Caenorhabditis elegans: one gene and its partners. The protein of the gene in region 2 purifies or fractionates together with the protein of the main gene of each other region. This does not show direct contact. Each region holds a gene or a part of one and is shown on either strand. Other genes may lie near its edges. The genes, in order: ant-1.1, sgk-1, F58F12.1 and vdac-1.

What was found.
Region 1: the proteins of sgk-1 (region 2) and ant-1.1 purify together in Caenorhabditis elegans (affinity purification with mass spectrometry, with the first as the bait; one study listed by BioGRID). This does not show direct contact.
Region 3: the proteins of sgk-1 (region 2) and F58F12.1 purify together in Caenorhabditis elegans (affinity purification with mass spectrometry, with the first as the bait; one study listed by BioGRID). This does not show direct contact.
Region 4: the proteins of sgk-1 (region 2) and vdac-1 purify together in Caenorhabditis elegans (affinity purification with western blotting; one study listed by BioGRID). This does not show direct contact.

The regions. Positions count from the first base shown.
Region 1 is NC_003281.10:13,461,219-13,465,179, reverse strand, and holds ant-1.1 (ADP/ATP translocase), read right to left. Parts: upstream 2,018-3,961; 5' UTR 1,950-2,017; coding exon 1,892-1,949; intron 1,784-1,891; coding exon 1,719-1,783; intron 1,674-1,718; coding exon 1,453-1,673; intron 1,400-1,452; coding exon 841-1,399; 3' UTR 528-840; downstream 1-527. Other genes in the region: cdk-5 (Cyclin-dependent-like kinase 5), read left to right, coding at 143-223, 276-362; T27E9.2 (Cytochrome b-c1 complex subunit 6), read left to right, coding at 2,596-2,823; abcf-2 (ABC transporter domain-containing protein), read left to right, coding at 2,973-3,047, 3,107-3,295, 3,347-3,961.
Region 2 is NC_003284.9:16,256,022-16,263,794, reverse strand, and holds the start of sgk-1 (Serine/threonine-protein kinase sgk-1), read left to right. Parts: upstream 1-1,743; coding exon 1,744-1,765; intron 1,766-3,666; coding exon 3,667-3,734; intron 3,735-4,482; coding exon 4,483-4,557; intron 4,558-4,604; coding exon 4,605-4,741; intron 4,742-4,798; coding exon 4,799-4,882; intron 4,883-5,515; coding exon 5,516-5,657; intron 5,658-5,711; coding exon 5,712-5,843; intron 5,844-5,928; coding exon 5,929-6,041; intron 6,042-6,118; coding exon 6,119-6,338; intron 6,339-6,757; coding exon 6,758-7,064; intron 7,065-7,773. Other genes in the region: mua-6 (Intermediate filament protein ifa-2), read left to right, coding at 1-145, 1,090-1,206, 1,264-1,314. UniProt on the Caenorhabditis elegans protein: Acts downstream of PI3 kinase age-1 and kinase pdk-1 in the daf-2/insulin receptor-like transduction pathway. Essential role in regulating development, stress response, and longevity.
Region 3 is NC_003280.10:6,382,024-6,385,235, forward strand, and holds F58F12.1 (ATP synthase subunit delta, mitochondrial), read left to right. Parts: upstream 1-1,621; 5' UTR 1,622-1,629; coding exon 1,630-1,749; intron 1,750-1,795; coding exon 1,796-1,928; intron 1,929-1,975; coding exon 1,976-2,172; intron 2,173-2,392; coding exon 2,393-2,434; 3' UTR 2,435-2,669; downstream 2,670-3,212. UniProt on the Caenorhabditis elegans protein: Mitochondrial membrane ATP synthase (F(1)F(0) ATP synthase or Complex V) produces ATP from ADP in the presence of a proton gradient across the membrane which is generated by electron transport complexes of the respiratory chain.
Region 4 is NC_003282.8:7,505,921-7,509,823, forward strand, and holds vdac-1 (putative voltage-dependent anion-selective channel), read right to left. Parts: upstream 1,972-3,903; 5' UTR 1,969-1,971; coding exon 1,905-1,968; intron 1,832-1,904; coding exon 1,691-1,831; intron 1,524-1,690; coding exon 1,354-1,523; intron 1,197-1,353; coding exon 939-1,196; intron 893-938; coding exon 674-892; 3' UTR 501-673; downstream 1-500. Other genes in the region: Putative sodium-dependent excitatory amino acid transporter glt-6, read left to right, coding at 1-45, 90-368; R05G6.5 (Uroporphyrinogen-III synthase), read left to right, coding at 2,663-2,806, 2,854-3,041, 3,219-3,298, 3,350-3,465, 3,517-3,555; plc-4 (Phosphoinositide phospholipase C), read right to left, coding at 3,758-3,903. UniProt on the Caenorhabditis elegans protein: Forms a channel through the cell membrane that allows diffusion of small hydrophilic molecules. Plays a role in maintaining mitochondrial morphology.

The DNA of each region.
Region 1 (3,961 bases), on a different chromosome or scaffold from region 2:
GGGCGGCTGGGACAGGACAGAGAACAGAGTATTGAGTAGATTTAGAGAAGCAGAGACAACTGTTCTAGATTTAAGATTGACAATAATTAATTGAATTCCATTGCATTATAGGAACACACAAGTATAACATACCATTTTTCAGCCCTACCCAATCTACCATCCAACGCTTACATGGAGCCAAATCGTACCTAATTTGAATTCACGTGGCCGTGATCTTTTACAGGTAACTTTTTTCCAATAAAAATTATACTTACTCAAACTCGAAGTATTTGCAGAAACTTCTTGTTTGCAATCCAGCAGGAAGAATCGATGCCGATGCAGCTCTACGCCATGCGTACTTCGCAGACACTTCTGACGTCTAACTATTCACTATTGCACTTTCCTACTCACATTGTTTTCTCGCTTTCCCTGGCATTCACTTCCCCCACTGACCCCAAATGAACCTCATTGCTTGCGAAACAAAATCTCATCGTTAATAAACGGCTACGGTTTGAAATCTTTCTGTGGCACATAATTGAACGAAGGGAAAATCAACAACGTTTTATTGTTGTTCGAGTAATTTTAAAGATCAACGGCAAACACAGGTGCAATAACCGAGATTGTCAAACCGAGTCCAGATAAAGGGGCTATCCTAACGAATGTTCAATCGGGGTGTTGAGGGAAAGAATGAGAATTTGAAAAGGGGAAAACTTTAATAGAGGATTTAAAACTTTTTATGTGGCTCGCTTTATTTTTGAAAACTTAACATAGTAGCTAGGTGAACTACTTTGCTAAAACAAGCTACATAACGAGATTTTGTTGGACAATGACAAGGTAAAAATTATCAAAGTGTTATCAAATTTAAAGGAACTTCTGGATTTCGTCGTAGATGGCCAAGACGAGGGCTCCTCCGGTTCCACGGAAGACGTTGGAGAGGGCTCCCTTGAACATAGCGGACATTCCTTCGTTTTGGATGATCTTCTTTGCGCAATCGAGGGTGTTTTTGTAGAGGATATCCTTGCGTCCAGACTGCATCATCATACGACGACGAACAGTGTCCCATGGGTAGGAAAGGATTCCAGATCCGACTGTGACAACTTGAGCAATTCCCCAAGCGGCGAAGAAGTTGAGTTTCTGTCCATCAGAAGCGAAGACCATCTTGGCGGTATCGAACATTCCGAAGTATGCGGCACGGTAGATGATAATTCCTTGCACGGAGACGAAGAATCCTCTGTAGAGTCCGATTGGTCCATCGGATTTCACGATCTTGATAAGGCAGTCAGCAAGTCCCTTGAATTCACGGTCGTTGGCCTTTCCAATATCAGCAGCAAGACGGGTACGGGCAAAGTCGAGTGGGTAGACGAAGCAGAGGGAGGTGGCTCCAGCAGCTCCTCCGGAAGCCAAGTTTCCTGCGAAGAACCTGAATTTCAAATGTGAAATTTTCTAAAAACAATAATGCAATGTTTAACTTACTTCCAGAAGTCCTTCTTTTTGTCGAGTCCCTCAAGGAAGATTGCCTTGTATGTGTCCTTGAAGGCGAAGTTCATGGCCTGAGTTGGGAAGTACCGGATGACGTTAGCGAGGTTTCCTCTCCAGAGGGCAGCAACTCCTTGCTCCTTTGGGACACGGATGAGAACATCCATGATTCCCTTGTAACGCTTGTCAACGGCGATAGCCTTGGAAGCATCTTGGACCTAAAATTTTTCATATTTATAGTGGAAAAAAGTTTCATCACACACCTGGAGGAGAAGCTTGACACGCTCAATTGGGGCAACAGCGGTCTTGGAGACGGCAGCAGCGGTACCTAAAAGAAAACAAAATTAATTAAATCACAAATTTGACGAATGAAAACCCAAAATTAATAATTATAGAAATCCTCCAAATTTTTGCAATAAAAACTGAAAAAGCTTACCTCCTGAGGCGAGATCGATCAAGAACTTTTTGGTGTCGAAGGACTTTTCTTTGGACATGATTCAAGATTGAAGGACCTCGGTGGTCGGTGCTTGCCAGAAGCAATAGTGGGAAGACGGCCGCCCGTCGAAACGGGGTGCGCGCACAGCCCGTGAGGCACTTTGCAGGTCTCGCCACGCTCGCAAGTACGGTGCGTCAGGCGCGGCGATTCAAACACTAGTTTTCTCTGACCGCCCAGTTTTGGGATTTTTTGCATATTTTGAGCCTAAATATCAGTTTTGTTATCGATTTTTCGTATTTTTCTTTTCTAAACGTGTTCGTTCCTTCATTCCTGAATTTTTCACGTTTTGTTTTATTAAAAAAACGTGATTTATTTTCGAAAAATAGGTCATAACTCCAAGAAAGTAACTTAATTGCGAAAGTTTCAGTTTTTATGAAAATTATGAGCCATGTCAAAGCAAACACAATAGTGTATTAGTGATAAGCAGTACTTGAAGTGTTTTTTGTTTATTTACACTGTAGATAACTGGTTATTCGTAACCTCAATGTTCCGAAAAAAATCGATATCGCATTGTGGCTAATTTATGCCTACGGGAGTTTGGTATGACCGGTTTTTCGAATCGCTTTAAAGTAGTTTTCTTCATATTTCTCTTCTCATCGAGCCAATGACTTGTCACTATCATGGAATTTTTTTCGGGTATCAGTATGTCGAGCCACAAGGAAGAGCCACTCGAGGCTGACGTCGATCAACTTACTCAATACCGTGAGCGATGTGCCGACCATGTCACCGAATTCAAGAGTATTCTCGACGAGTGCAACGATCGTGTCAACTCTCGTTCTAACACTGAGGAGACCTGCCATCAGGAGATGGCTGACTACGTTCACCATTTGGATCACTGTGCCATGCCAAAGGCCTTCGCTTCGTTGAAATAATATTTCTTTTCCTGCTTTTTTTGAGGATTTCTCGTCTAGTTTATGTGAATTTTCGCTCTCGTATTTTTTATCCGTCGCTTTTTCCGTGTATTTGAGAGATAAATAAATAAAAATTTAGGGTACCCCATCCGCATCACTGCTGGACAACAATGCCGTCTGATGCGAAGAAAGCACGCGAGGCCGCTAAGAAGGCTGCCGCCAAAGGAGGAAAAGGAAAAAAGAAGGTGAGCAATTGATTTTTAGTTTTTTTTTGTTTAACAAATAATAATCATCTCATTTCCAGGTAGAAACACCAACCGCCATGTCATCTCAACATCCGTCCGTCAACAGTCTCTGCTGTTTAGACGAGGAGCTCGATCAGGCCGCCGCCACCTTGGCCAAAATCGAATTGGAAAACGCTGCTGCTCGTTCAGTCGCCGGATCATTGACTTCCGATCCAAAGGGTCTTGATCACAGAGTAGAAAGCCTGACGGTAAGTGGTTTTTAATTGGCGACTCCAACAAGTAACTTTGTTTTCATTCAGATTACATTCCACGGTCGTGAAATTGTCGTTGACACGAAACTCGAACTCAACCGTGGACGTCGTTACGGACTCATCGGATTGAACGGATCTGGAAAGTCTACCATCATTCAGGCAATCTACAACAAGGAAATGCCAATCCCAGAGTCCGTGGATATGTACCTCGTATCCCGTGAAATGCCTGCTTCAGAGAAAACTGCTCTTCAAGCGGTCGTTGATGTCGATTCAGTCAGAAAAGAGTTGGAACATCTTGCCGAGCAGCTTGCTAGTCAGACTGATGAGGAAAGTCAGGACAAGCTGATGGATGTTTACGAAAGGCTGGATGAAATGGATGCATCTCTCGCTGAAAAGAAGGCTGCCGAAATTTTGCACGGACTTGGATTCACAAAAACTATGCAAATGAAAAAATGTAAAGATTTTTCTGGAGGATGGAGAATGCGCATTGCTCTCGCTCGTGCACTTTTCCTGAAACCGTCAGTCTTACTTCTCGACGAACCGACCAATCATTTGGATTTGGAAGCTTGTGTGTGGCTTGAGGAGGAACTCGCTCAGTATAAAAGAACCTTGTTGGTGGTTTCTCACTCTCAAGATTTCATGAACGGAGTTTGCACCAACATC
Region 2 (7,773 bases):
CAAATTTGTCATTTTGGAAAACACACACAGAGCCAAAGAAGAGCCACTCGGAGACTGGAAGCTTAAGAGAAAGATCGACGGAAAACGCGAGATCGTCTTCACCTTCCCATCCGACTACATCCTCCACCCATTCCAATCTGTCAAGGTTTGCGAATTTCTACTTCTTTCAGAAACAAGCCTAGCTACCCAGGACCTGTCGCGTATAAAACATTTCAAATTGGTGTCTCAGAATGAAATGTGTTGTTGTCTCTGTGTGTGTGTGTCGAATTGATAATCTAATGCGCGATTGCGTTTGGGTGTGGCAAGGTCATCCGTCCGTAATGACTAAAGGGGGGGTAACTTTGCTTCGAAAAAGAAAGATTGGGGATGTATGTAGGAGAAAAAGAAGGAATAAAAAGTGATAAACAAATTGATGGAAACTGTGAAGACAAACGTTGTTCACAGAAATCAATAAAAGGGACAGATGAGATGTGAGATTATTTAGGTCAGCTTTGAAAAAAAATGTTTTCAAATAAGGTTTGAATAAGAAATGAATTTGAAAGAAGCAATTATTTATTTAAAAGGTGGAGTAGCGCCAGTGGGGATTTTGTCTAAATGCACTTATAATGATCCAAAACAACCGAATATCATAATAAAACACTCCAAAATTTTTTTTAGATTTTTCATAATTTCCGGTCAAAGTTTTGGCAAATTCCCAAAAAATTTTAAAATACTAGCTTTTGAGGAAATTCAAAGAAATGTCGCATGTTTCGACCCCTACAATGTTTTAATACAAACAAAATTAAAACATAAAAAATGTCGAAAAAAAATTTTTTTTTTGATCGACTTCCAAAATTATGAGTGGCAAAAACTGAGTAATTGCCACTTTTTGACAGTAAATAAAAAATTTAAAAATTTTTTTTGAAAAGTTTTATCAAGATGTTTGGTCATTTTTGGACCAAAGGAGTGGTTTTTAACAATTTCCCGACTGGCGCTACTCCACCTTCAATCAATTTCATACAAAACATTTTTCATAAAAAAAAAAGAAATTCAAGTGAGGTGTTTTAACATTAAAAAAACCACTGTAAAGACAAATTTCTACATTTCCAGATCTTCGCCCGCGGACAAGGAATCGCCAATCCTCCAGAAGTGCTCATTTTCGAAGGTGACGAAACATTCGGTGTTGGCGCCAACGTTCAAACAATCCTTTACAACAATAAGGGAGAGGTAATTCAACCCCCAAAAATTTACGTGCAGAATAAAATGTTATTTTTTTCTTTGCAGGAGCGCGCGACACACATCCAACGTCAAAGCCAACAAACGACATCTTCCTAAATCTAGCTTTTTGCTTGAGCTATTTACTGTTTTCTTCTCTTTGTACCAGAAATCTGAACCCCAACTCTTTGCTGCCTGCCTGTTTGCATTTTTTCCGTTTGCTATATACTTTTTCACTTTTTTGTTTCTTTTTCCTCCGGTAACTTACTCATTTTCAACAATAAATACTTTATACAGATCAAAAAATTGCCATATGGAATGTTCATTTTTCATTTGAAACATTGATAGGAAAAGTAAGGTGGGGAAATATTAAAGGTGATAACGTGATCAAGAGCAAATAAGAAAGTCAGACGAATGGCTCGGTGAGCCGTGATAAGAAGACAAGGTCCAACCCAGCGATTCTAATCAGTTAACACGAGACAAGATACATCGAAAACCCACATTCGACCTGGTGGCGGTTATTCTAAATACGAGAGCATTACTGTGACAATGGGCAGCATGTATTATAATGGTGAGTCAAAGATTAAACCTGGCTGGTTCTGTGAAATGTTTGTATTTGTTTTAAGAAATTCAAAATCTGAAATGTCTTAAAAGTCTCAATTTTTTTAAATGGCTGATAAAATTTTGAAAACCTAGCTCTTCCAGATAAAACCTAGATTTCTGCCAACATGTCACAGTTGCGGCGGTCTGAAAACATTAGTTGATGGGTGCAAAAAATACTTCTTACTCCTGAAAACAACTTAATCAACGAAAAAAGTCATAACAATAAATATATTCATTAAAAATACATAGAAAAACAGAACATTCAATAAAATTTAATAAAAATCAATTTTGGGTAACTATGACAAACATAGGTTGACAAGTTAAAAATGTAGTTTTTTGTATTTTTTATTTTTTTCAGAAATAAAAATAAATTAAATTCGATATTTTGGGGTCATTTTGACCCAATTAAAAAATTAATCCAAATTTCGCTACTACACCTGTGAGAAGTTATCATAAATTTTTTTTAAAATGTGCTTTAAATGTGGAGTAGCGCCAGTGGGGGAAATTGTCAAAAACCACGCCTATGGTCTCAAATTAATGGAATATCAAAATAAAACTATTCAAAAAATTTTTGAAATTTTTTTTTTACTCTCAAAAAGTGACAATTATTTAGTTTTTACTCAAAATTTTGGAAGTCGTCCGAAAAAAAAAAGTTTTTCTACATTGTTTATACTGTGACTGTGTTTTAATTATTCACATTTAAACATTGTAGGGGTCTAAACATGCGGCCATGCTTCGGATTTCCTCACAAGCTCATATTTTTCGAAATTTGGCCATTTGCCAAAACTTTGACCGGAAATTATGAAAAGTCTAAAATTTTTGCAGTTTTTTATTATGATATTCTGTCGTTTTGGATCATAATAAGAGCATTTAGACAAAATCCCCATTGGCGCTACTTCACCTTTAAAATGCAGATAGATCATTAACTCAAACATAAACTTACTAGTTTTGAATTTTCATTATGAATTTAGATGTTTTTTAACAAACCTATAAATGCTCACAGGAAAATACAATGCATTAGGTTTTCCAAGAAATTATAATATAATGAACTCTTTCTGAAACATACTTCAGTCTTCATGATTTCAAAATCAAATTTTCCAATTCTGACATAAAATAATCCACTGGTCAAACGTAATGATTTGATAACGCATTTCTGTTTGACAGCTTAATTTTCATTTGAACTTTCATTTTCTGAAATCAAAACTGAATACGTTTTTTCAATTTATTACGTTTTACTTGTGTAGTATTAGAACTACAAAAAAGGTTTGCAATGGATTAAAATAATTATTTTTTATCATTGTGCCTATTTTGAGAGTTTCAAATAATTATTTTTATGCTTGAAAAAATAAAAAAATAGACATTTTCATTCATCTAATTTTTGAAATTAATTTATAAATTATTAATGGTTTAAATTTTTTCTTTAACGTATCTATATCATCTTGAAATATACCTCTTAACAATCTATTTACTTTGCATGCTTCTTTTTATGATTTCTATGATTCTTTCAAAATGCAAATAATGACGTCACTTTCTGCATCAACCGGAAGAAATTATGATGATGATATTTTTTTTTCCTTCTCTAGAAGTTTTTTACCCTTTCATTACCTCTAATGGAGTTGAGAAACCAGAGCCATACTACCTTTTCCAATTTTCTTTTCAACATAAGTTTCATGTCAAAAAGTGCTTATGCAGTATTGATAAGTGTAGTGAAACTCTCTCAAAGGACTGATAAGGCCGAAGAAAAAGTCATGATCTGCTTCCCGGAAATAGCAATCGATTTTTATTGACGAGTTTTAGTTATGCTCATTAATTTATTTTTTTATTGATATCGATAAATGTTTTAATATAATTTAATTTTGAATATTTCAGAGTCGAGAATGGTGAGGAAAGATGAGGTGACATGCAATGTTATTATAGGAGATGATAAGAAAACTGTGGTAAGTTAGAGAGCATTAAGATTAATTTAAAGAGTTTTAAAAATAAATATTATCTCATTTTTTGTCCGTAAAGTATAATGTGATGCAGGGATAGGCGGAAAAAAATTTTGTCGACAAATTCGGCAAATCGTCAAATTGCCGGTTTTCCCGATTTGCCGGAGATTTTCAATTCCGACAATTTACCGGTTTGCCGAGTTGCCGGAAATTTTCTTTTTTGGCAAATTGTCGGTTTTCCGTCTGCCGGATATCAAGTTTGCCGGAAATGTCTAGAGGGATTTTTATAAGACGGAAACACATGAAAATTGGCCCTTTTTGAAACTTTTTCCCGTTTTCTTTAGCTATTTACATAGAAGTTGTTCAATTTTCAAAATATATGTTGGAACATGCGTACAATTTTTCCGATTAAAATTGAAATTCTGAAATTTTTTAAAAATGTGCAAAACCACAATTTGCCAAACATTTTTGGCAATTGTCGTTTTTCCGGCAAGTTCGGCAAATCGGCAATTTGCACGTTTTCAATTCCGGCAACTTGCAATTTATAGATTTACCGTGTTCACTTTTGAGATTTGTGTGTTCCACAAGAAATATTTTAAAGTTTACACGTTCAGTTTCAATTATAAAACATTTTTCCTGAAGACTACACGGCGAGTAACTATAATAGAAAATTACAAATTTGTCACACATGCCCAAATCAGAAATATTTTTTTAAATACACTTGACGAGTTTTCAAATAAAATTATATTTTCAGGTTTACGCGCTCCGTATCGGAAATGGCCCAATTATGCAAAAAACGTTTGAAGAATATGAAAGATTTTTTACAACTGTCAGTTTTTTCAAGTTTTTATTTTCCAACTTTTTATTGACTTTCAGGAAAAGGATATGATCCCGGCTACAATTTTCACTGCGCCGAAAAAGAAGTTCCTGCAAGCTGACAGCAAGTTCTACGAGAAAAGACGTGTTTGGATCCTTGTGATTAGTCAGCATCTTGTTGATAATAATTTAAGAAGGTAATGAGATTAATTTATGTTGGATAGTTTATAATTCTTTGATTACAATGATTACAGTGAGGATGTCCGTCGGTTCTTCCATCTCGAAAGTCCGGATGATGATGAGAATAATGTTGATCTCGGACCAAGTGAGAGGAAAACGTATGTTTTGGCCATAAGGATTTGCGGTAAATCGCCAAAGTTGCACATATTGAAGTAGAGCTCCCAGCTGAGTGATGCGCAAAATGCGGACCTCACCCCGACGCCACCGTGTGTTTGCAATGAAGTTCGAAATGTAGTTATTTGGAGCGTCCGACATGTTCGGGGTTCCGCAGCTTGGTCGTGAAATAAGTAGCTTGGTGTGTGCGCAACGTAGTGTGAAGAGATGGTTGTTTGGAAGCGGCCGACACGTTCGGGGTTCCGCGCAACATTATACATTCGCATACATCCGTCTTGCGCGACGACCTCATGGGAGACCTATATTAAATACTTTTGATTTTTTTCCCCGAACGTTTGCAATGAGCTTCTAATTTTGTTTCATCTGCTCTTAAAATAGCTACGTTACCAAGTTTTTGAAATTTTTCCAATCTTTGAAACAAGACATCCATTTTTGATTCGTTCCAAAATAGGAAGTGTTGCTTATTTTCCGAAAATTTTGGCTTTCCCATCTCATGTTGACCTATTTTTGTCGACTCAAAATTTTTCGACCAACAGTATAATTTTTATGGAAATTTTAGAAACCAGAGTTTCATATATACGTTGCAAGACTTTTTGCCTCTAGCAGTTTATTTTCAGAGCCACCGCCAATGATTTCGATTATCTGACAACTATCGGAAAAGGAAGCTTTGGAAGAGTTTACCAAGTCAGGCACAAGGAGACCAAAAAAATCTACGCCATGAAAATTCTGTCCAAGGAACATATCAGAAAAAAGAACGAGGTATTGATTAGTGTTACAAGTTTTTGGAACATAAGTAGCAAATACGTTTTTAAGGTGAAACACGTCATGGCAGAAAGAAATGTGCTCATTAACAACTTTAAGCACCCTTTCCTTGTTTCACTTCACTTTTCGTTCCAAAATAAGGAGAAGCTGTATTTTGTGCTCGATCACTTGAACGGAGGAGAGGTACCTATTCCATGTGTTTAGATTAATATAGGGAAGAATGGACTCGATAGAAAACTTATAAAACTTTCAAAATGTGGCATTTCAGCTTTTCTCTCACCTCCAACGCGAGAAACATTTTTCCGAGTCGAGAAGTCGTTTTTACGCGGCCGAGATTGCATGTGCTCTGGGTTATCTTCACGAGAAAAACATTATCTACAGGTAGCGATTTACTTGCTTTCAAAAAAAGAAACCTCTAAATTGGTTTGGCAATATGCAAATATAAATTTACATTCCAGAGATTTGAAGCCTGAAAACCTTCTGTTGGACGATAAAGGTTACTTGGTGCTCACCGACTTTGGGCTCTGTAAAGAAGATATGCAAGGAAGCAAGACAACTTCCACATTTTGTGGGACGCCGGAGTACTTGGCCCCGGAAATTATTCTGAAAAAGCCTTACGACAAGACTGTTGACTGGTGGTGTTTGGGATCGGTTCTCTATGAAATGATTTTTGGATTGGTAAGGATTGCCGAGTTGGCATAAACTTGAAATACACAATCTGAAATATTATAGCTGGTTTATTAAAAAATATGATGACTAGTTTTATAATTAGTAGTTACAACTGCAATTTTCTTCCGCTTTTCGTAGAGCTTAGCGCAATAGAACTCTGCCGACTTTTGTTCCAATGACCTTCTCTAAAAGTTTTACATAACCTATTTACCATATTTTTTCTATTAGTACAGCCCTGATGTGTAATTCAGACTAGAAACTTAAAATTGCTTCTTCTTTTGCTTCTTCTTTTTGTTCTGTGATTTTCCCAAAACCACAGAACACAAAATATTACATAGTTCAAGCTAAAATTGCTGATTTGATTTATTTCCCTGACATAACTTTCTTAATCTGCTCCCCCCCCCCCCAAAAAAGAGCAATCATTTCAGCCTCCATTCTACTCAAAAGATCATAACGAGATGTACGACAAGATCATCAACCAGCCACTTCGTCTCAAGCACAACATCTCTGTGCCATGCAGTGAGCTCATCACCGGGCTCTTGCAAAAAGACCGTTCAAAGCGTCTGGGCCATCGCAATGATTTCCGTGACATTCGTGATCATCCATTCTTCCTTCCGGTTGATTGGGATAAGCTTCTGAATCGTGAGCTTAAGGCTCCGTTCATTCCGAAAGTGAAAAACGCAATGGATACATCCAATATTTCAAAGGAGTTCGTGGAGATTCAAATTGATCCATGTAAGATATATGTACAATAATTGGCATAATTAAGGATGGTTGGGGATAGAACTGGCATATTTCCGGTCATCGCGTCCGGTTTTGGAATTTTGAGAATTTTCCGAAGGTAGTTTTTCACGGCGGCCGACAATTTCCGAGTTTAGCCACTCATTATCGAATTATGTATATGATTAAGTATAGTGAGTGGCCAAACTCGGAAATTGTCGGCCGCCGTGAAAACTACTTTTTCTGAAAATTTTTTAAAATTCCAAAACCGGACCCCAAATATGCCAGCCCTAGTTGGGGAGAAGGGTTGGTTCCAATAAGAATGTAAAAATTTGTAGTAACTAATCTTAGTTCAACGCTCTATTCAAAGTGACATCTAATATGTAGTAAGACCAAATCTTGTAATGAGAGGTCTTCAAAAATTTCATTTTTCTTCAAAAACTTCCTTTTTCTGTACGGTTTCTTTTCAAAATCAAAAAGAACAGTCTCAATATACCGAAAATGACTGCGAAAAAATTTGAAACATTTTTTTCATTTTTTTAAAAACTGTTTTCAAACTTTCCAAAACTTTTTAAAAAGCCTCATTTTTCAAGCCCACGTCTTTTGATTCCTTTTGTTTCTCGGCAAAGTTTATTAGTTTCTTTTTCGGTTTTTGATCTCATTAAAATGTCTAATTTTAATAGAAGCCCAAATAAAATATTAAGATGAAATGAGCTGAGGAAAA
Region 3 (3,212 bases), on a different chromosome or scaffold from region 2:
AAAATTTTTTACCTACCTAAAGGTTGCGTCTCTCTCTCCGAAACTTGTAGAAGAATGGCTGCTCACTCCAAACCGGAATTATCTGTTGTTTTGGATGCATAGTTTTTAAAAGGCAGGTCTTAAAAATCCAATCCCTAACTTCTCTGCATGCACAAACTTTAAAAGTAGCTACAGTAATATTTTCACATGATAACCTGCATTAGGAGTGTTAACCCTAACCACAAACTTTATCATTGACTATGTGTCTAGTTACAATGACCAAACAACTGTGTGTGTTTCTTTAATAGGATTCTAATAGAATGTTAAATATCTAATGGCGAATTCGTGATTTCAGGTGAATTTATTTAGTTCCGGACACAAGCCTAAACAGAAAGTTCACAAAAGTTAGTCATGATGATCTTTTATCTTCAGTTGCAAACTTTTTCTCCACGGTTTCATGATTTTGAAGCTTCTTTTTATTTTAGAGATATCAAAATGTTGTCGATCTACTTACTCACTGCACAAAAAGGTTATTATGTAGTTTAAAATAAATTTTCGTTGGGCAGAATGAGGGATGATATATTATTACTGTTTCCCGGTATCCACTTGATGAGCATGCGACCTCTCTGTCCAGAAGCCAAACTTTCAATAACATCTACAGTATGTACTGTATTTTGCAATCACTTATAAAAACTGAAAACTGAGAAGAACCATAAATCATACATTTCCCGCATGTTTCTACTCAATTGATAACCGGATTATCACATTTCTTTACTATTACTATGAAATGACACGCAGTTGCAACAAACTTCAAATATTTGATAAGTTTCAGTCAATTCAGCAGAAAACGCACCAACACACATGTTCTGCTTCAGGTGAAGGAAACACGTAAAAAGTCACGTGGCTTATTCAAATGTTCAAATGAGTCGTATTTTGCAAAGTGTATCGAAATGCTACGCAATGTAGTGAATAATATAGTAAGTTAAGTGAAACCTACAAATCATGTATACAATTTTCAAAAATTTCCATATATTCTTCCCTGCGTACAATTCGAGAAAGGAGCAATCTACTTTAATGGTTAAGATTTTTTCAATCAGTAGCTTCAATAGTGTACTCTATTGCTGTTTAGATACGTCTTCAAATAAAGTTTATTTAAAAAATATGTTTTCTCTATTGTAATAGTTCTATAATTTCAAAAATTATTCCAATTAGCTACATTTCAATAAATATCAAAAATTCTACGCTTCTTAGTTGAAAATCTCCAATTACATTCGCTGTTTCATATTTAACATACGTTTCATTAAATCTTCAGGCATTTTTTAACCTTCGCCAAGATGGCCTAGTTTTTCCCGATGGCCGCGGACTAGCCATTAGGGGATGCAAACACGCTCCGTTGGACGACGGGCGATCTCGATTTTTATTCACCTTTTTTTAACAAAAAATCTCTGTTTTCAACTGTTTTGGGAAGTTTTTTCAGTTAATTTTCGTTATTAAAAATTGAAAAAAGTATTCGACTATATGTCTACGATTTTTACTATTGTTTGTTCCCCAAATACAATCTATTCCTCCGATTTTTTCATTTATAATTCTTAATACACATATTGACCTTCTAAAAATCAATCAAACAATGTTATCATTTCAGAGGGTAAGATGTTGGCTCGTACTATCCAAAGATTCTCGGTTGTTGCCAAGCGCGGATACGCCGCTGCCGCTCCAGCTGCCAACGCCAACCCAGAGGAGCTTCGTCTCACTTTCGCCTCCCCAGACACCGTGAGTAAATATTATTTGAAAACATTATTTGAAAATCAATTTACAGGCTGTCTTCAGCAATGCTGTCGTCAAGCAGGTTGATGTGCCAACTTTGGCCGGTATGGTTGGTGTTCTTGCCAATCACGTCCCAACCATTGGAGTTTTGAAACCAGGAGTTGTCTCTGTCACCACAAATGAAGGTTTATTTTGCAAAAATAAATTGTATTATCACCAAAGAATTTTTCAGGAACAGTTCAACGCCTTTTCGTCTCTTCGGGAACCCTCTCCGTGAACATCGATGGATCATGCCAAGTTCTTGCTGAGGAGGTCCTGAAAGTTGAAGAAATTGATGAGTCTGCTGCCCGCGCCGAGCTTGATGCTGCCCAAAGAGCCTCCGGAGAAGGAAGCGAGGTTGCTCGTGCTGAAGCTCAAATTCGCGCTGAAGTAAGTGTTCGAAAAAGTTTTAAAAACCAAAAAAAAATACAAGAAACGAATATCGTTTGGTTTCAGCAAAGTTAAGCATTTCGTAATATTTTTATTATCAAAATGATTCTGTGCTTCGATACTAAAACTGAGACCAGGACATAAAGTTGAGGGTCATAAAAGTAGTTCTCTGAAATGAATATGTCTTTAAGTTTTGTTTCAAAACAAGGGAATTTTTCAGGTTGCTGAAGCATTGATCAAGGCCGCCACGAACCAGCAATAAGGAGTATGTTGAGAGTAGACCCTTTAACTTTGGTAAATTCCTTTTTAATTTGATCCTAGGCACATCGTCAATTTCTCTCGATGCTGCTTATAGGATATTATGTACGGCCCTCCCTTTTTTTGTTTTCATTGTTCCATCGTTTCCAATAAATTTCGAGACTTTTAGTTTTTGACTTTTATTTTTCCAATTTTCTGATTTAGTGATATTTATAGTAGAAATGAACATTCGATCCTTCATCCAAGTAATTATATCAAACAAGAGAAAATTCTGAAAATGTATGTAAACTGGAATACCAATTCCATGAGTTTAAAACAATTACAATCTACAGCAATACGTACCCTAAAATGAAATAGAATTAGTATTTCCTTATGTTTACCAAAAAACGGAAACCTCGGGTTCGATTCAATTCATGCGCTAATCGAAAATGGTTGTTCAAAAAGCGAAATTGAACGAAAAAAATCGTAAGTGATGATGCCATTCAGAAGAATCTGCAACATTTGAAGAGGAAACCCAAGGAGGATTCGGCTTTTTCAAAGTGATGAAAGTTGAGATACAAATTGGAATTGTCTTTTTTATCGACAAACCCACTTTAAATGCCATTTACAGACACGATGGGAGGATAGACAACAAACTTCAAAAATCATATGAACACTTTTCTGAATCAAAATAATTATTCACCAATTTTCCACCATTTTTAGTAAATAGCTAATATTAGTTTGAATATCAAACTTCTTTTATTAAAATTGGAGCTTTATTTATTCAAACCTTCGCAAAATTG
Region 4 (3,903 bases), on a different chromosome or scaffold from region 2:
CTAGGGGATGCGTTTGCTGCTTCAATGGTTCAGCATTTATTGCAGGTTTGATAGAAAACTCGAACTTGGAGACAATTGTATATTTTAAGAAAAAGCTGGATCAAGCAGACGCTCGTCACGATTATAAGACTGAACTGAAAGGAGAAATTGAACTATTGAAGTCAGCTGCCACCAGTAGAAGACCATCATTCACAATGTCAGAAGCTTCTAAGGAGCTCTTCTTGACACACGCGAACACAGCTGGAAACTCAAGAATTGGATCACGAATTGGCTCTCGTCGTCCTTCATCCACCAACTTGCATCTTTCCTGGCGTAATAATAACATTGAACCACCATACACACCTCTGCCCAACGATGAAAACGTGTAGTTCCATGATCAATATTTACATTTTTTGTCCATGTCACTTTTCCATTCCAAAACAGAAAACGGTTATTCTCTCCTCTTTCCGCGAGAACCCATGGATTGTTTTGTACATATCATTTTTACTATTTTAAGCCACTGATGAAACTCAATAATTTATGTTTGTAAAATTTAGCAGAAAAGTAAATAGCGCATGACATTTCTTTTTTTTCGAAGTTTAGAGAACATAAATCGACATTGAAAAATCAACGGTTGAGGACTAAAAGAATTTTAAGAACGCTATTGATGGGAGAATGGAAGTGATCGGAAGATCTAGTTGGATGGATCGAATTCGAGTCCAAGTCCGAACTTGTGAGCATCATTGGCAGCAAGGTTGAATTGAGTGGAAAGTGTCAGCTTAAGAGCTGGAGACAAGGAGTGTGTGGCAGCAACGGCAACTTGGGAAGAGCTGTTGACCTTGGCGCGGACAGTAAGGTCACGGCTTGGAGCATACTTGGTGGCGAGAGCGTAGTCAGCTCCGTTTCCACCAACCTGAAAATTCACTTTAGTTTTGGTTCTAGGATTTTAAAAAGTTTACCTTCCATCCGAGTTGAGTTCCAACCTCGACGTTGGAGGCAACCTTGTGGTAAAGGGAAGCTCCGAAGTCGGTTGAGTTAATAACGAAAGAGTGGAGGGTGTATTGTGGAGTGGAGTGTCCGAAAGCCAAAGAAGTGGCTGCCAACTTATTCGATGAAGAATCGAAGGTGGCGGCAGCTCCGATGAGCCATCCGTCACGGGAGAAGACTCCGGCAGCGTTGATAACTGGAGCAGAGGTGACTCCAACATCAGCGGTAACCTGTAAATGGCTAATTTGTTTCATTTCACAAAGATGGATTTTTGAAATCTCTATTTCTACATTCAGAAAATCGAACCCTGAAACAATCATGCTTCCAGTCAAGCTTGAGACGAGCTTCGCCAATCTTATCACCCAAAATATGTACAAGACTACTCACTCTAGCAGTTGGGAGAGCCCAGTCGAGCTTCACTTTTCCGCTTCTCTTTCCGGCGTGTGGGGCATAAAGAGAATCGAGAGTGACCTTGAGTCCACGTCCGAATTGCTCATTAACTTCGATAACAGTTCCGAGCTGGTTCTCGGTGTTCCATTTCTCGGTCAAAGTGATTCCTGAAAACGAAACAACATGATTGATATCTCTCACACAATATGTTGTATTTTTGTTGAGCGGTCGCTAGACGTCACGTGGTGTTTTAGAGTACATACAATTGCATCACCTGCGTCACGAGGTTGTCCCCATCTAGCGGGTAGACAATAAGATGTTCAGACGAGCTTACCGTATTGTGGGATCTTGTACTTGACATCGAGATTTCCTCCAAGCTTTCCGGATCCGATATTGTGAGAAGCGGCTGATTTGAACTCAACCTCCTTGTTGTCTCCAGCTCTAGTGGTGGAGTCGATCTTGAGGAATCCAAAGTCTGGAAAAAAATTAATCAGGCGAATAAATGACCTAACACTATTCCTCTCTACAAAGATAAAATTGAAACTTACTGTATCCTTTGTTGAAGAGGTCCTTGGCGGACTTTCCAAGATCAGCGAAGGTTGGTGGGGCCATTTTCTAAACACAAAATATTTTTTGAAACATGCATTCTAGAGTTACACGAGAGAAGGAAAATAGGAAATTTTCGAAAAATGAAGGCTTTGAAAATGTTTGCATTGAGCAGTGCATACGAGAAAAACGGAAAGAAAGAGATAAACCAACTCAATGGCAGCAGTAGGAAGTCGATAAACAATGCGCCAGAAAACACAACATCGCCAAAAAATATATTCAGGGTTTCAGTTAAATGATTTACAATTATCTTATCGGGAAATTCAGAAGCAAACATTTGTAACATAAAACTCCGACGGTATCGAAAACATTGAATGCGATAGAGAAAGGACAGATCACGCCACAACAGCAAATTGAGAGTTCAAAGGCAAGCACATTGGCGCGGCGACCGCCCGTCTCGAGACATAGGACGAAAATGAGAGGCACAGAGACTGGTTACTGCAGCGCGACCGCTCCGCTTCCAAAAGTACTGGATTATTTTGGCAGTTTTTCAAAATTGAATGATGCACTGAGAAGAAAAGATTTGATGCAATGAAAGAAATATTGACTAACGAAACAAAATGAAATTAGCAAGAAATCTCAAATTTAGCGTTAAACCAGGAAATGGTACCGGAAATTGAGCACAAATCCAAATAGTTTCCGCATCACCTGGTTCAGCGAATTCAGTTCACTTCTGTCACTTGCATCTAACCTATTCGAAATGTACCGCTCGGAAGTCTCTAAGCCACAACTGGAAAATCCAAACCTAGTCGATAGAATAATTGTAATTATTCTGCCGAACTATTTCTATGAATATGAATCCGTACTGAAGCACATAACAAAAGAAAACTTCGGGATTATAGAGGTAAGTTGTATATATGAAAATTAAAGAAGAAGAAACTGATTATTTAGAAAACTGTGAAGCATTTTAAAACTGAAGAAGTCATGGAGTGGAAAAGTGCTGATCTTGAATCCCAAGATATCTGGAACTTATCAGACAGGCTAATAGACGGACCATGCATGTTACTATTGTGTCAACGAGCGAATGCTTTTATTGAGATGAAAGAAGTGGCCAAATATCACAATGTGATCGCTAAGAGGTGAGCAAAGACCAACAAACATCCGAAAATACTGAAAAACAATGGAAGAAAAACATTGCGCACAGTTGAAAATAACCGTTACCGTAGTCTCGTTTCGGTACGAAACCTTCACACTTTTGGAGGTTTTTCAAAAAATCTATCCGAAGAGTTTTAAAACTTCACAAGCGTTTAATTCAGAATGAGTTCAAGTGATGGAATATATTATTCAAAAACGACAATTGCCGCCTATCACGATATAATTTTCTTTTTCCCCAAGTGTAAGATTCCATAAAGTTAGAATTTTGACTCTCCCATAAAAATATATTCAGACATTGACGAAAGAGCAATGCTGAAACATGCCAAGGATTATCTCTCAGTAGAAGTATGGCCGAAACTGAGCCAGGGACTGGCTCGCGTAGCAGTTGAGAGACCGGATAATCCAATTGTTTGTTTTCGAATACACCATTTAGTAACATGATTTTTTTGACTCTTTCAGAAATGGCTCGCAGATTATCTACACCAACTACGCCAATAAGTTTATGTTTCTAAAAAATAATATAGTGTAAATACCCATAAACCAATAAAACAATAAATTTTTTAAAAATATGCATTAAAAATTAACTACAAAACTATGCGAAAGAAAGGGCAGTAGAACATATATTACATGTAATCAGATAACACACAGGTAGTGATAAAAACGGCTTTGGTCTCAAAAATATGTTTAAAAAGCAGGAGAATTAGTACTCTTCCTCCATTGCAATTCGTACAAAAAGAGATGCAGATGGGTCCAGAGTATGTTGATATCCGGTATTTAGTTGAATTTGCGAGAAACCTGTACGAAGACTCATAACAGGAATTGAGAATTCTCCAACAAAGTCGTTCG